Linked DNA regions of Saccharomyces cerevisiae S288C. The protein of the gene in region 4 binds, or shares a complex with, the protein of the main gene of each other region. Each region holds a gene or a part of one and is shown on either strand. Other genes may lie near its edges.

Evidence for each region.
Region 1: PAP1 (region 4) and PTI1 share a complex: the UniProt entries of both Saccharomyces cerevisiae proteins name them as parts of the cleavage and polyadenylation factor (CPF) complex.
Region 2: PAP1 (region 4) and SYC1 share a complex: the UniProt entries of both Saccharomyces cerevisiae proteins name them as parts of the cleavage and polyadenylation factor (CPF) complex.
Region 3: PAP1 (region 4) and YSH1 share a complex: the UniProt entries of both Saccharomyces cerevisiae proteins name them as parts of the cleavage and polyadenylation factor (CPF) complex.

Annotation. Positions count from the first base shown.
Region 1 is NC_001139.9:798,600-802,323, reverse strand, and holds PTI1 (cleavage polyadenylation factor subunit PTI1), read right to left. Parts: upstream 1,779-3,724; coding exon 501-1,778; downstream 1-500. Other genes in the region: cystathionine beta-synthase CYS4, read right to left, coding at 2,258-3,724. UniProt on the Saccharomyces cerevisiae protein: Component of the cleavage and polyadenylation factor (CPF) complex, which plays a key role in polyadenylation-dependent pre-mRNA 3'-end formation and cooperates with cleavage factors including the CFIA complex and NAB4/CFIB.
Region 2 is NC_001147.6:671,314-674,238, forward strand, and holds SYC1 (cleavage polyadenylation factor subunit SYC1), read right to left. Parts: upstream 1,099-2,925; coding exon 532-1,098; downstream 1-531. UniProt on the Saccharomyces cerevisiae protein: Component of the cleavage and polyadenylation factor (CPF) complex, which plays a key role in polyadenylation-dependent pre-mRNA 3'-end formation and cooperates with cleavage factors including the CFIA complex and NAB4/CFIB.
Region 3 is NC_001144.5:696,624-701,377, forward strand, and holds YSH1 (cleavage polyadenylation factor subunit YSH1), read right to left. Parts: upstream 2,873-4,754; coding exon 533-2,872; downstream 1-532. Other genes in the region: DBP9 (ATP-dependent DNA/RNA helicase), read right to left, coding at 1-207; YLR278C (uncharacterized protein), read right to left, coding at 3,376-4,754. UniProt on the Saccharomyces cerevisiae protein: Component of the cleavage and polyadenylation factor (CPF) complex, which plays a key role in polyadenylation-dependent pre-mRNA 3'-end formation and cooperates with cleavage factors including the CFIA complex and NAB4/CFIB. Has endonuclease activity.
Region 4 is NC_001143.9:441,662-445,438, reverse strand, and holds PAP1 (polynucleotide adenylyltransferase PAP1), read right to left. Parts: upstream 2,208-3,777; coding exon 501-2,207; downstream 1-500. Other genes in the region: oxysterol-binding protein OSH6, read right to left, coding at 1-58; dynamin-like GTPase VPS1, read left to right, coding at 2,717-3,777. UniProt on the Saccharomyces cerevisiae protein: Polymerase component of the cleavage and polyadenylation factor (CPF) complex, which plays a key role in polyadenylation-dependent pre-mRNA 3'-end formation and cooperates with cleavage factors including the CFIA complex and NAB4/CFIB.

The DNA.
Region 1 (3,724 bases), on a different chromosome or scaffold from region 4:
CTGGATTGTTAGGTTGAACTAACGTATAAAATTAGGGGATAAAATGAAGAAAAGAAGATAAACTAATCAAAGAGGCAAAAAAAAAGGTCCTTTGAATCAAACTCTACTATATTAGTTATATTTTGAAGATTTGGTGTGAACTCTTCACATGAGAAGGGAATAAAAGGGAACACAGTGGAAAGAATCTGTATTTTCATATGCCTACTTATAAATTCACATGTGTCGGAGATCCACGTTATCTAACATTTGAGGTTTTGCCGTTTCTGGCATCGCCGTTCATTTTCACAGTTTTGTGTGGAAAACTTCGCGAATAATGAATGCGGCATGAGAAAAGTGTGGCAATTGACTGTCTTGACCAATTTAAACCAAGGCAAAAATATATATTTAACAAGGCAAACATTTAATGTTGGAAGTTTAGTGCCGCTTTTAGTGATAAGAGGTACAGATGCAAGAACCATCTAATTAGGTGTGGTTTTCTGATACGCTATGGCTCTGATTACTTAGATTATATATTCTTTTCTAAAGTTTTCCACCATAAGTTGCTGGTCACTTGGTAAACTTTGGATCTGGGCAGGTGTCAAAGTAAGAACTTGTTTGATCATATCTTGTTGGTTTTCAGGTAGTAATTGCAGTTTCGCCATATTAATGGTGCCGCTGTCATTCGCTTTATTCGCGTTAGAGGGTCCTTCTGTAGAACTTATATTTTGTTGCTGGACCTGGCCGAGTTGATTTGCCAACACAGGCTGTCCCATGGAGGGGCCTTGAGCTGGAGGCATGAAAGGGCCCGGTGGCGCAAAACCGAACGGTTGTTGTTGCAGAGGTAAAGGGATAAATGGTGGTGTCGACATAGGCATTGGCATAGCTACGTTCAGTGGCATATTGTTAGGATTGTTGCTGACTTCATTAGAAGGTACATGCAACGGAGTGTTATTTCTAATTACGCTTACGGGGGTGTTCGAATTACTTGTGTTATTACTCGAAAGCAAAGATGGGGCCTCGCCAACTTGGGATTTCAACACTTTAGTCACCACGCTGTAGTCTATAAATCCCATTTCTAGTAGGGCTTGGGTCACTGATATTGTGATATCACTGTTAGTATCTAAGAAAGATTCTAATTGCGATTTTTGGATGTTTTCTTGGTTTGATAATATTTTCAAATTTGATATAATTTCAATAAGTTGCAACGGCGGAATTTTACTTAAATTTTGTGAAATTTTGTCTGGTGCAATAATCGAGCCATCTTGGAAACTTGGCAAGTGTTTAGATGCTTTACTTAGTATGTCGGGGAATTGAATGTTTGTGTTATTTGATACAGAGTTTGTGTTATTTGCAGCCTGTGGTGGCGGTGGTCGCCTAGGAATGGGGACTTCTGTCACCATTTCGAAAGGTAGCTCCAAACCCGCCTCGAAGGGGTACGAATCTCTATTAAGTTGTAATACCTGCTTTTGAGAATTTTTATTTGCTGTTTCTCTAAGATGGTCCTTATAATTTGGTGGGATTATTTGCTCTATCTTTACGGGAAAGTTTTCAATTCTATTTAAAATTTCCCAAGCGCGTTTACAATCTTTACTAGTCAAATAATCGAACAGTACACCGGTTAGTTTACCAGTTCTCGGGTCATTCTTAGCTTTTATATCTATAACTGGACCAGAACCGGCCACGACCGAAGTAATTATATCTTGGTTCCATTCTGGAGGTAAGTTTGTGATTTGTAATGTAGAGGATAAATTCTCCGGTGTCAAGAAATGACGGCCTGTTCTTCTTCTGGGATCTGTCATCAATTTTTTTCCTTCGTTCTTCGTTCTTCGTCTTCTCCAGTTGTGAGTTTTCTAAATATACCTATATATAAAATAATAAAATCTAATCAATGCAACGTGTTTGACAGTGACGTTTACAGATAGGACGACCGGATGAGCGACTGAAAAAGGTGCTATTATGAATGCACGGTTTCGCAAGACCTCAAACAATCGTACTAGTATTTCTGAAATTCTGCTTTACTGCCCGACCTTTCCAACATGTCGCTGTTTTTTTGTTTTTCTTCAGAGTCGGGTAAGAGCAATAAAGTGAAAAGTTAACAGATTCAAACACTGATGTGATGCATGCATGATAAGGAATTTGTAAAAATAATAGAACAATGCTGCTTCGTATAGGCGCTATTTAATTAAGTAGTTATATAAAGAGAACGGTGCAATTGAATAGGAAAGGAATGACGGATTTTGCTTCTATGTTTGCTTTTATTTGAAGCGTGGGTTCTTATTTATGCTAAGTAGCTCAGTAAATCCATCTTAGTAACGATATGGATTGGTTTCAAGCCATCAGTGATAACGGCAGATGAGTTTTTTTCAAAGAAACGATTCAAGTCAGATAGCTTTGAGTTTTCATCGAATTTAATAAACTTCTTCTTACCGGATTTATTTTCGTTGTAAGAGGAAACATCATTGAAATTGTTTAATTTCTTGAAGTCCAAGTATTTACCCTTTATAGTGTTGTCGTTGTTTGAATTATTGATTGATAGTTTTCTTAGAAGCTCAGAGAGAGTAACTAAACCAGACAACTTGCCGTCTTCAGTCAACACAGGCAATTGGTCAAAGCCATTGTCTTTTAATATCTTGATAACATCAGTGACCTTAGCGGTTTCCTTAACGGAAACAACCGGTTTCAAGTGAAGATCCTTTACAGTAGCGTTACCAAACACATCAGCGTATTTTGTCGTCGAAGCCTCCAGCTTTGAAGAGTCAAAACGGGCCAACACGTCATCATCCCACAAATTGTTCTTTTTCAACCATTCGTCATCGACGAATTTGGTTAGGTACGACCTGATGGAATCTGGGAATATGGCAACAATGACATCATCTTCAGTCAGTTCAGGGTGGTCTTCACAGTATTTCACAACCGCAGTGAAGGCAGAACCGGAAGAACCACCCACCAAGACACCTTCGTTAGAAATCAATTGTCTGGCGTATTTGAAAGAAGGCTTGTCGTCTGTCTTATACCAAACATCAATTAATTTTCTGTCCAAAACCTGAGGAACAAAATCATAACCAATACCCTCAACTTTGTAGTCAGTGATATCAGTCTTATTCAAGTTTTCAGGTTGGGCTAAAATTGAACCGAATGGGTCAGCACCAACGATTTGGATCTTATCATTCTGTTCTTTCAAGTACTTGGAAATACCGCTAATAGTCCCACCAGTACCAGCACCAGCAACAACAGCGCGTAGATTATCAAATAAATTCAAGTCTTCTAGCTGTCTTTGGATTTCGCGACCAGTACCAAAGTAATGAGCTTCTGGGTTCATCATATTGTTATATTGGTCAAGTATAACAGCACCAGGAATCTCTTTTTCCAACTTCTTAGCAACACCAATATGTGATTCTGGAGAATCCCAGGCAGCAGCAGTTGGAGTTCTGATGATTTCAGCACCCAGAGCCTTTAGGACAGAAACTTTCTCGTTAGACATTTTTTCCGGCAAGGTGATGATAGTTCTGTAACCTTTGATGGCGCCGATTAAAGCTAGACCGATACCGGTGTTACCAGAAGTAGGTTCGATCAGAGTAGATCTGGAAGGATGAATTCTACCGGAAGCTTCAGCTTCTTCCACCATAGACTTGGCAATTCTGTCTTTGATGGAACCACCTGGATTGTATAGTTCCAGCTTAGCATAAATTTGTGGTTTGATACCCAAAGCCTTAGGCAATTTTTTCAGTGCGATCAATGGGGTGTT
Region 2 (2,925 bases), on a different chromosome or scaffold from region 4:
TCCTTTGTTTGCGTAACAGATCTCGGAAATTACATGGTGCGTGCTCGGGCTTTTTGTGATAAGAGTACTCCAGCACCGATTATTGGTGTTTACGGAGGCGCTTCGTAGCATTGCAGATACACACAAAACTAAGAGTAATAAAAATAGCTACGTAAAACAAGATTGGTTAAACTTTATTGTGCCGCTTGTGTACATTCGTATTCCGAAAAAGTAAGGTGAAATCACCGTCACCGATGCTCATGCAGCTACTCCTCACCTTTTAAGGTTGAAATCCGCTTGTCCTTGAGTAATATTCCTACGTATTATGGAAATAATGTACGAATCTGTGTCTATGTATGCCTCATAATTACAACAGTGTTGTTGCTTCTTCCTTATTTAGCCATAGATACGCTGGTTTGCGTTCTCCGCCCCCGCACCTACCATTTCCTTGGCGAAGTAGTTATATGGGGAAAACTCAACAACTTGTTACATAATCCACCAATAATTCAGATGAAAGCACATACAAGAAAATAAAAAGGTAAGTAATGACGTTCAGCACAATGGAGTTGTTAATTTCTGGCCAATGCTTAGTATGCTCTCCACTCTTCCCTTTAGTGGGTTCGAATTACAATCAATCAGCTTCATGGTGGAGAAATCGATCGTGGCTTTACTCTTGCCTATGGTGACGCTACCATTCTTTACATTTTCTTTTTTTCCTATTCCTTCATCGATGCTAAAACTGTCTCCAAATTGTTCTCGAAACAGATTTTGCAATTCTTGGATCTTCCAAACGTTATGGTTTCTCTCTTTCAATTCTGATTCAGATAGCACGTTCTTGTCGCTTGCACACAAACCGATGATCATTATTACTATACTATCGGCAATTGTTTGGCTTATCATTGACTTCTGTGTCCACTCAATTGAAACGCTGCTCGCAGATATTTCTACTTCGACGTCACCCAGCATTAACAGTTTCGTGGCATTTTCCGTTGCAGTTGTTTCTATGCAACCGAACGTTTGGACAATATGAAGGTACAAATCATTAGTTCGATCTGTCCCACTGTTATTTAGATTAATTCTTTGATGAGTTCTGTCACTTTTGTCCTTGGGTAAATCCATTTTACGTTATAATGCAAATTACGTGAGCCGCTCTTGTTCAGTCATAGTGCAGACATGCAATTTTATCTCCGTTTCCTCTTATTTTTTTCTTGTTTTTCTTGCTTTCTTCCTTTCCCGAAGAAGAACATCCGAAGTTAAAAAAAAAAATCTCAAATTTGAGACTATTTTATTCTATCGTTGAATGAGTGAATTTTGTAAAGAAGTAAGTGAATTGATTAGATAAAGCATGTTTATCACATAAAGTCTTTTTTCATAGTAGCAACGATGCTTGATACCATTATGATTTATATCTTTTATCCCCATCGTCGGTTATCTAAAAATTAAAATCAAAAAAAATACATAATCATTGTATACTACGATATCGCCTTTTCGGCTAGATTTCATATGCATCCCTCTCGGAAAACAACAACAGCACATATGCATAAAACCACTACTTTTAAAGACTCGACTTTGAGTGGCCTGGGTTACACAACTTGCGATATTTCGATGTTTTCTTCCCTAAGCGTCGCAGTTGAACAAAACATCGGCTAAATTCTTTTCTCTTAGCAGAAACTTCATAGAGTTCATTAATAGTGATGGCTCCTTTTAGGCTAGGGACCTTTTTCTGAAGTTCTTTCTGTCACTATCCTCCGCAACCGCCTTTAAACTATTGAATGATTACTTTGCTAGGCCAATTTTTTTCGATCATTAAAATAAATTCTGAATATACCATGAAAATAAAGTTGCGCTTGTGACCTTTTTCGAGAAACACCATTTCACTTGATTTTGCATAGTTATTAGCGAAAATAGCACGATTTTTTTTTTTTCGATGCATTTTCCCTTTGCTCTCCTTACCTGCAAGGTTAGCGCAAGCAAAATGTCAAAGATGCGTCTAATATAAACATGTATATATAGTCCAAGTGCATTCAAGGAATACTATCGTAACAACTTTTTTATCCTCCTTCGATTATGCAGTATCAATTGTCGAAGAAAAAGCTTAGGTCACAATATGGTCGAAGGACGGCATATCATGATTCTAAGAATGCCTTTCTTTCTAAAAAGATGACGTTTGGTTCTATTTCAGTTATTCCCAGTTTGCTACCCATTTTTCTTTTCATTCCTCGAATACTTCCAACAAACATATAAAAATTTTCGTAATCGTTGACCTATTTTGGGGAGTTCCTTTTTTCTTCTTTAGAACTCCCTTTGGTTATATTTATTACTACGCAGATTTCGAGTAGTTGTCACATCAAACAGAATAAAAGGGGTATTGTAAATTTACTGACTTTTCCATCAATCCCGTATGAATGGATGGCTTACATATCTTGGAACGCAGACTTCGAAATTAAGTATTTAGGAGTGAGAATGTGCGTTAGCATTTTGTCTCATATCTAAATATTCAAGTTTAACTTGTATTATTTGTCCTCAGTACAAGAGGTGTACGGCTTTTGAAAGTCCACTCCCCCATTTTTATCCGGATCTCTGCCGCTGGATTCTATTTTGTCACAAAGTTTGTGCCTTGGAGAGCGCCGTTTGCCAGCCCGTCATCAGTAGGACCCTTTTGTGCGGCTGCCAAATTTTCTAGAGATACCGCCGCGGCCGCCTCTTGTCTGGAAGAATTTGCATTGCCAAGGAAATTGATTCAGTTCATTAAGTACAGTTGTGAAGCACTTTAGTTACTTAACATGAATGACAGTTTTATTAGGTGTAAAAAAAAATCCTTTTTTTCAGAGAGCTATTTGTAAATATTATATGAATATTAAAAAACATCCTTTTTGAGTAAGAATTCCTATGAAACAAAATGGAACAATTTCACTTATATTGTAAGCGGATTTTACAACAGATATA
Region 3 (4,754 bases), on a different chromosome or scaffold from region 4:
AGTTTTTCCGGAACCTGTAGCGGCCTTTGCTATAATATCTCTCTTCTGTTGTAAAGCCAAAGGAATAGCATGTGATTGAATTAATGTTGGGTACTGAAATCCTATATTCTTAATAGCTTGTAATAAACGAGAGTCGAGATGAAATGCTTCGAACGTTGTAGAATCGTCAATATAAGCGCCTTCCACAGACTTTTTCTCATAGCTCATTTTTTTGATCTTTCGTTGCAGTTTTGGCTTAGTCTATTTCTTTTGTGAGATAAATTGTAGATTGACTATAACTATCAGCCAAAACAAAAGGCTCTTACTCAATGAAAGAAATTAGAAGAATCGAAATGAAATGAGATGAGATGAGATGAGATGAGATGGTCTAGAAGAGTTATTCTTTATGTTCGTGAAAAAAAATTTTTAAAATTTCATCTCTAGGTTTCATTACGTAAAGAGTGATTAAGGTAAACAATAAAAGGCAGTTCTAACCAGATTTTGGTTTGGTATTACTTCTATAAAGTAGTCTACTTAGTATGCGTAACTGTTTTTAACATAGCGGTGTGACCAAATTACCACCAATATTTAAGAGGCTTTCCACCCTACCTTTCAAAGGATTTGAATTACATTCTAAAATTTTCATATTGTTGAAGTCAATCTTAGCAGTGCTTTTACCTATGGTAACCACTCCAGTTATAGTTTCCTCTTTATTACTTGCATATTCATCTTTATTGAGAAATAAAGTAAAACAGTCACCAAACTGTTCTTTAAACAACCTTGAGATTTGCTTCACCCTCTCAACTTCATCAATCTTACCTTGTGCATTAGACTGCACATTGTTATGATCATGATCATCACAAGAATGACTCGAAAGCTTGACACTGGCGGGAGCTGAATCCACATTCATAAGTATAGCAATAATGGAGTCTGCTACAGTGTCATTCATTAAATCTTGAGTCCATTCCACAACGGCTAGAGTATTAACAATAGTTAACTTAATATCACCCATTATCTGTAGAATCAATTTACCTGTATTGGTCAGATTGTCTTTTGACTCTTCTTTAACCTTTGGTTCTTGATTTGTTACTCTATCATCATCTTGAAGAACTTCAGCCTCTCCAAACATTTGTAAAATGTGCCAGTAAATTAGCTCCTTTTTACAATTTACACGAACTGACTGGCGCTCTCTTAATATCGTTGTAGAAAGATCGGGATGGTGCTCTCTTAAATCAGACAAAGAAAGGAAGTCTAATTCGAAATTTTTGTCATCTGAAACTAGAATCCCAGAAACGACTATGTCTTTGTGTTCCTCTTCATCAACCAAACCTTTTTCTGCTTGAGAATCCAAGTTGTCTTCGTTTTCTTCCTTTATAGGTTCAATTTTAGCCGCAATTTCTTCCTTTATCTCTACGTTTTCTTCTTTATATATTTCGTTCACAATATTTCCCACAGCTTTTGCAACCTTGACACCTTGAAATTCAAGATCTACTTCAACACAGTTTCTAGGATTAAAAACATGGACTTCATTATCTGTACCCTTTAAAGACGCGAAATTGGATAACAATGCAGATTTCAAACGGCCCATGGGATTGGCTTCTCCATGAACAAGGATGATATTTGGCGCACTAATCTTTTCAATAAATTCTAAATTTTCCTGGAAGTCAACGTGTGCGGCAAAGGAGATTTCTTCAACTTGACAACGTCTTGGAATGGTTATTTCCGGATTATTTATGGAAGGTATTGTATCTGGCTCAAGCATAATAAATTTCGCCATTGTTCCTTCGATGGAGTAACCGGTGATTAGTACTAGATTTTTATCTTCAGGGCACCACCTTTCAAGTAAATCTCTTGATAACCCACTTTGCAGCATACCTGGTGAGGCCAACATCACACTGGGACCAAAATCTTGGAAATCCTCCAAGTTTCTAAGATAAGATATATTTTTGAATATGAAGGGATTAGTCTGAGAGTCTCTAAATTTTTTTCTAATGTCATCATTCATCATATTTACATAGGTTTGAAAAACGCTCATACATTTTTTTGCCAAATTTGATGCATAAAATATTGGGACTTGTCCACCACCGAGTTCATCAGCATGTTGAGACCAGTACTCATCCAGTATAAGCATGATTTCTTGAGCTCTCCCTAAAGCAAAAACAGGCAGTAGAACACGGCCTCCTCTCATCACTGTGGAATGGATTAGTTGGGTTAGCTTCCTTTCTCTATTTAAACGGGGCTCGTGAGTAGCGGTACCAAAGGTAGATTCCACAATTAATACGTTGGATGAAAGTGGAGGCACCTCAGCAGAATTTAAGTGACGATCTACTTCTCTCGAATAGTCACCTGTGAATAACACCCTAAGGCCAGCAATCTCTATTTGAAACATCGCTGCACCCAATACATGGCCTGCATGGAATGCCGTAAATTTGATACCATTGACGTCAACAGTAGAATGATAGTCCACCGTTTCAATTTTATCGAAAGAATCAACTAAATCCTCATCTGAGAATAGACCTTCGTCTTTAGTCCCCATAGAGGAGGATGAAGAACCTATACTAGTAACTCTTACAAAATCTCGCAGTAGCCATCTGTAAATGGCTTTGGTTGGATGTGTCATGAAAACTCTGCCTTGAAAGTTAGTCCGTTGCATCACATACGGAAGTGAAGCGGCATGGTCTAAATGGAAATGTGATATCAGTAAGATATCGACTTTGGAAAGATCAAATTCATCGTAAAAAGGTAATGAAGCTAATCCTTGATATGCCGGATGAATTCCTGCGTCGAGCATCACTGTTTTACCTTTATATTGCAATATATGACATGATCGTCCAACTTCGTTACTTCCTCCCAATGAAAAAAATTTGAATGTTGTTGTATTTGTTCGCTCCATATATGCGTATACTTATTAATGTTAACTTATTATGTTACTTTTTATTTCCTCAATGGACAAAATTCAATTGATAATACAATGTTTCTTTTGTGCTGTAACTTTTGAAGTACTGAAAACAAGGGTAAAAGAAATAAACGCTTATACCCGTGAACATTTTGAACCTATTAGATGTGATCTCAATATGTATTGCGCTGAAGCAGTAGAAGTTGTTAAAGATCCGCTAGTTTTTCATAATTTTCGGCCAGAATAACTGCTTACCCGTATTTATTTGCAAACACGCTACTTAGTCTTTTGGAGAGGACTTTATACAGGAAAGAAAGAGTTTTATTGATTTTAAAAACAATATAAATGAAAGAAAAAAATGTGTTTTAGATTAGGCTTATAAGATATGACCCATATCATAATTAAAAAAAGCGATTTAGTTGTTCTTTTAAAAAAAAAGAGAAAAAAAAAAAAAAAAAAAAAAGGAATGAGTTTGTACATACTATTATATTAATGTAGTATCACGTTAAAAAGCCGTAGTCATCATTAATCGTCCAAAAGTCTTCTACCGGACCAGATGTCATCATGTTATCCCAGTTAGAACGCTTTTTCCTGATGTCTGCGTTAGTTACTGTAGGAATAACATTGTCGAAATGCAGATTTGCGCTAGTGTTTGCTTCCACCTGTGTTTTAGGTCCATTCTTCTCTGTTTCGTCAAGATTATATTGTACACCTTCCTGATTGGACATCATGAACAAATTTCTGTTATACGAAGGGTCATTCTGCGTCTGTTGAAAATTATTAGCGGTTACATTGTTTTCAGAACACATATTTTGTTGTTGATGTTGTTGCTGCTGTTTGTCCATGGACAGAGATGAAGGCTCTTGACTCTGGGGAAATATTGTTTGTAGTATGGACTTGCTATTCAAAGCATCTAGAACGGAGTTATTGGTCCAGGTGGAAATATTGTTGATCATGTCATGAGCACCGTTGCTGAAAAGTATATCGCCCGAAGAAGAGCCATTTCGAGCTTGTTTGACACTGACCGGAATTGAATTGCTAGTAAATGACGCTGGTATCGAGGAGATAATATTATTGCCATAATCTGCTCTTAGGGGTGATGTACTGAAATTTGATTCTTCGACATCTCTTAATTGCTTATTTTCACTTGTATGGTTAGAGAATATTGCAGATTGTAGAGGATTACTGTTGATCATACCATTGTTTAATTGATTCGTAAAATTGCTTTCTGAGAATCTTTGTGGAGAAGTAATATGTTGTTGTGGCTGCTCCCGCTGTTGTTGCGGCAGTGGTCGTGATACATGCTGTTGCGGTAGCATATTGGAAGTTTGAGGATATGGAGTTGGGCTTTGCGTCATCGCTATTGGAATCGGATCCGAATGCGAAGAGGCTGTAGATATGCTAGAAGATTTTGAAGGACTTCTATTGGTCATAGTATCGGTGTTCAGGGACGATAGATACGCTTGTAAATTGTGCTGAGCTAGTTGCTGTTGTAGAAAGGCCTGCTGTTGAAATACTTGCCAATCAAACTCTGTTTGGTTGGTTGGTTTCTTGACGATATATTGGTCTTGAATAGGCCTTTCTACATCATTTTCCATAGTTACGTTGTTGTTACGAACATACTGGCTGTTGTTGCCATTATTGCAGCTGTTGTTGGTAGTGCTTCTGCTATTACTTTCATTATCATTATTATTAACATTATTATTATTATTACTATTATTATTATTATTGTTATTATTATTATTATTATCATTATTATTGTTGTGATTATTGTTGTGTTCTCTGTTGACGCTGCTGATGGTCATACCATTGTTATCATTGTTTACATTGATTTTCAGGTTTTTTTCTTGGGAAGAAGGAAACGATAATGTCGACGATG
Region 4 (3,777 bases):
AACTGGATTTGCTCAACCGGTGCGAATCAGATCCTACGGTCAGTTTTTTGGAGCCCATTGTAACTTCTTTTAGTATATCTGTGTCAATAAAGGTACAGATTGCATGAACTCACACTTCATGTAACTGTCAGACGTAATTCTCGAGATAAACGTCTCGTTGAAGCTTGTTTTGTTATATTTGTCAATCCTGGGTCCCCTATTCCGTCAGAAAAAAAAAAGCCTAAATATCTGGCCGAAACTCGGAAAGGAAAAGGTTCCGTTCCTTTCCCAGCCAATTTAACTATGCCTTCAAAGGTATCATCCTGACATCCAGCTTGTAACACAAAATTCTCACCTAATGGTAAAATGTCGCTACACGCGAAAGAGCATATGTAGAGAGAATCTCGTAAACGTTTTACTGCTTCGTAAAAAAAGTACTTTGATTCAAAAAAAAGGGTACAAATTTGTTTATGACTGATTAACCTATATTAATAAACTATTCAACTATAAATAGGAATGTCTTAGTTTACGTCAACAGCTGCGGTTGTGCCATTGATGTTGTCACCTGAAGCAGCATCTGATTTAGATCTCTTCACGGTTTCATGTCTAGCATCTAAATTCTTCCTTTTACTCTTCTTTGATGGTCTCTTTTCATTTTCATCGAAAACTTCATCTGGCAAATCGTAACCCTTTACGAAGCGGAGGGCTAGATTGAATACTTTGTGGTCACCATAATCCTCATTGAAACTTCGACATAAATTCACAAATTCAGTGCAGGGAATGTGAATGTCAACTTTTTCCTTTTTGTTTTCAATATTAAAGTCAAGGCCTATGTACATGGTGCTTAAATATGCCTTTGGTGCATCTTTAATACTTTCTTCCTCTTTATTTTCATCTGTTACCAGTTTAAGGGCGTTCAGTGCTGTCTCAGTTTTATGACTACCGTATTTGTCTTGAATCATTTCATAGTCATCCTCGGTTGGACAACAATAACTACTTTCAAAGGGTTTGGTGAAAGGATGTGCAATTTTTATTCCAGCTAACACCTCCAGTTTCATAACTAGAAGCCTTACCTTACTTTCAACAAGACCACTCCATTTTAAATGCTGCTCGTCACTGCCCCTTGTATATGCAGTAATTTCTAAATAGAACTTGTATCGAAAGAAAAAATCGTTTTTTTCGAATAAATTGGCCCAGGACTTCTTATTGGAAAAAATATCATTCGTAATTTGAACGCCTCTTACGAATTCCTGTAAAATGACTTTTTTAGTAGATTCCGTGATGTTATGGGTAGCACACATTGATGGATAAGCTGGTGTAATGACGGGCATTCTATGAGACCTGTCTTGGGCATATATCTTTGGATTCCATACACGAACTTGTAACGGGCCATCCTCAATTGGTTTCAAGATAACAGGTTGTGGCCAATTCCATTCCGACAAAATGATGAAAAATCTGTTCAATATAACTGCGCTACAGGCGTTAGGGTATAGTTGACAAATTCTAGCCACTAGCATGGCCCAAGCCACACCACCAGGAAAACCAAAAATATTAGCATAAACAGCCCTTCTTTGGGCCCATAGCTTAATAGCTCTTAAAGCGATTCTGAAAACATTCGGCTTTGGTACCAGTTCTAATATCTCATCTGTTACTCTGGTACCATTCAAAGCTCTCAAGTCCTTCTCGTCTAGATTTCGCAGTAGATTTTTATCTGATAAAGTCAAGGATAAAGGCACTTGAGGTTGGTCTAGACGTGCACAGATTAAATCGATAGAAATACCACTGAACTTTATCTTGATAATCGGGACAAACGCATCAGGTACAGGTGCAATTTCATCCAGTTCCTTCCTCTCTCTCAGTAGTGAATCAAATACCGTAAAAAAATCTTCCCGAGTTACATGTTTTGGAACAACTACCAAAGTATCGATATCACTACCAGGCCCATGGACTCCTAGTCTATAGGACCCATACGTAAAAATCTTCCCACCAGCATCCCTTGCCATCCCGTCTGACATATTTTTCTTCTTCGATACTTCATAAACAAATCTTTGTGCCAATTCCTGCAATATTTTCAACACTTGTACCCTATTGGCAGTTTCTTGCTCTGTTTCGAACGATCCTTCCTTTTTCAGTTCTTGGATTAAACTATCATTTAATTTATTTTCTGCTGCTGTGGCGCCCACGGTGGAAACAGGTCCAGTAATACCAAAAACCTTTTGAGAGCTCATTATTTGTCTAAAAAAAGTTTATGCGTTAAATATTTTGCTAATTCTAGGCCTCTTTTGATTCAAAAAAGACCGTTTAAAGACTTGCTCACAGTGAAATTATTTAGCTAGTTTAGTGTCTTTAAACTTTTGCTAAAACGTTTCACTTGAAAAATCGTTCTAATATCGTCCAGAGGATAGTATGATAGCTTCAGAGAATTCGATAGATACTTGAATCCTCTAATAGTCGAAAAATGCTCGAGGGTAAACCACTTGTGCGCTTGGACTGGCCTAGTTTCCAAAACCAATGTTCTAATGGATTGATTTCTTCCCCAAACATTATTAAGTGGCCGGGTCACCCAAAGACTTGGGCGCCGTTGATTCGCGTCGCTTTGCCATCAAGAGAACAACATATCTTCCAAGACAGACCGAGATAATTCATCTATTTACTCCTAAAAAAGAATTAGAGAGGCCTTTTATAGCACCAAAATAAGGACCGTACGAAAACTGCACATTTTATATTATCAGATATCATGGATGAGCATTTAATTTCTACTATTAACAAGCTTCAGGACGCTTTGGCGCCCTTAGGAGGAGGATCTCAATCTCCTATTGATTTACCACAGATCACTGTTGTCGGTTCCCAGTCGTCAGGAAAGTCGTCCGTTTTGGAGAACATTGTTGGTAGGGATTTCTTGCCAAGAGGTACTGGTATTGTCACCAGGAGACCTTTAGTGTTACAATTGATTAATAGGAGACCAAAAAAGTCAGAACATGCTAAAGTAAACCAAACTGCTAATGAATTGATTGACTTGAACATCAACGATGATGACAAGAAAAAGGATGAATCAGGAAAGCACCAGAACGAGGGACAATCTGAAGACAATAAAGAGGAATGGGGTGAATTTTTGCATTTACCTGGTAAGAAGTTTTATAATTTTGACGAAATTAGAAAGGAAATCGTCAAAGAAACTGACAAAGTGACAGGTGCCAATTCAGGTATTTCTTCTGTGCCCATTAACTTGAGAATTTATTCTCCGCATGTTCTTACTTTGACGTTAGTGGATTTGCCTGGGTTGACGAAGGTTCCCGTAGGTGACCAACCTCCTGATATTGAAAGACAAATTAAGGACATGTTGTTAAAGTATATTTCGAAACCAAACGCTATCATATTATCTGTTAATGCCGCTAACACCGATTTAGCCAACAGCGATGGTTTGAAGCTGGCTAGAGAGGTCGATCCAGAAGGAACGAGAACTATTGGTGTCTTGACAAAAGTCGATTTGATGGATCAAGGTACAGATGTCATAGATATTTTGGCTGGAAGAGTCATTCCTTTGAGATATGGTTATATCCCAGTTATCAATAGAGGTCAAAAGGATATTGAACACAAAAAAACAATCAGAGAAGCCCTTGAAAACGAAAGAAAATTTTTTGAGAACCATCCCTCTTACAGTTCTAAAGCTCATTACTGTGGTACACCATATTTGGCTAAAAAGTTAAACTCAATCTTATTACACCACATTAGGCAAACTCTGCCAGAAATCAAAGCGAAAATCGAAGCCACATTGAAAAAATATCAAAACGAACTTAT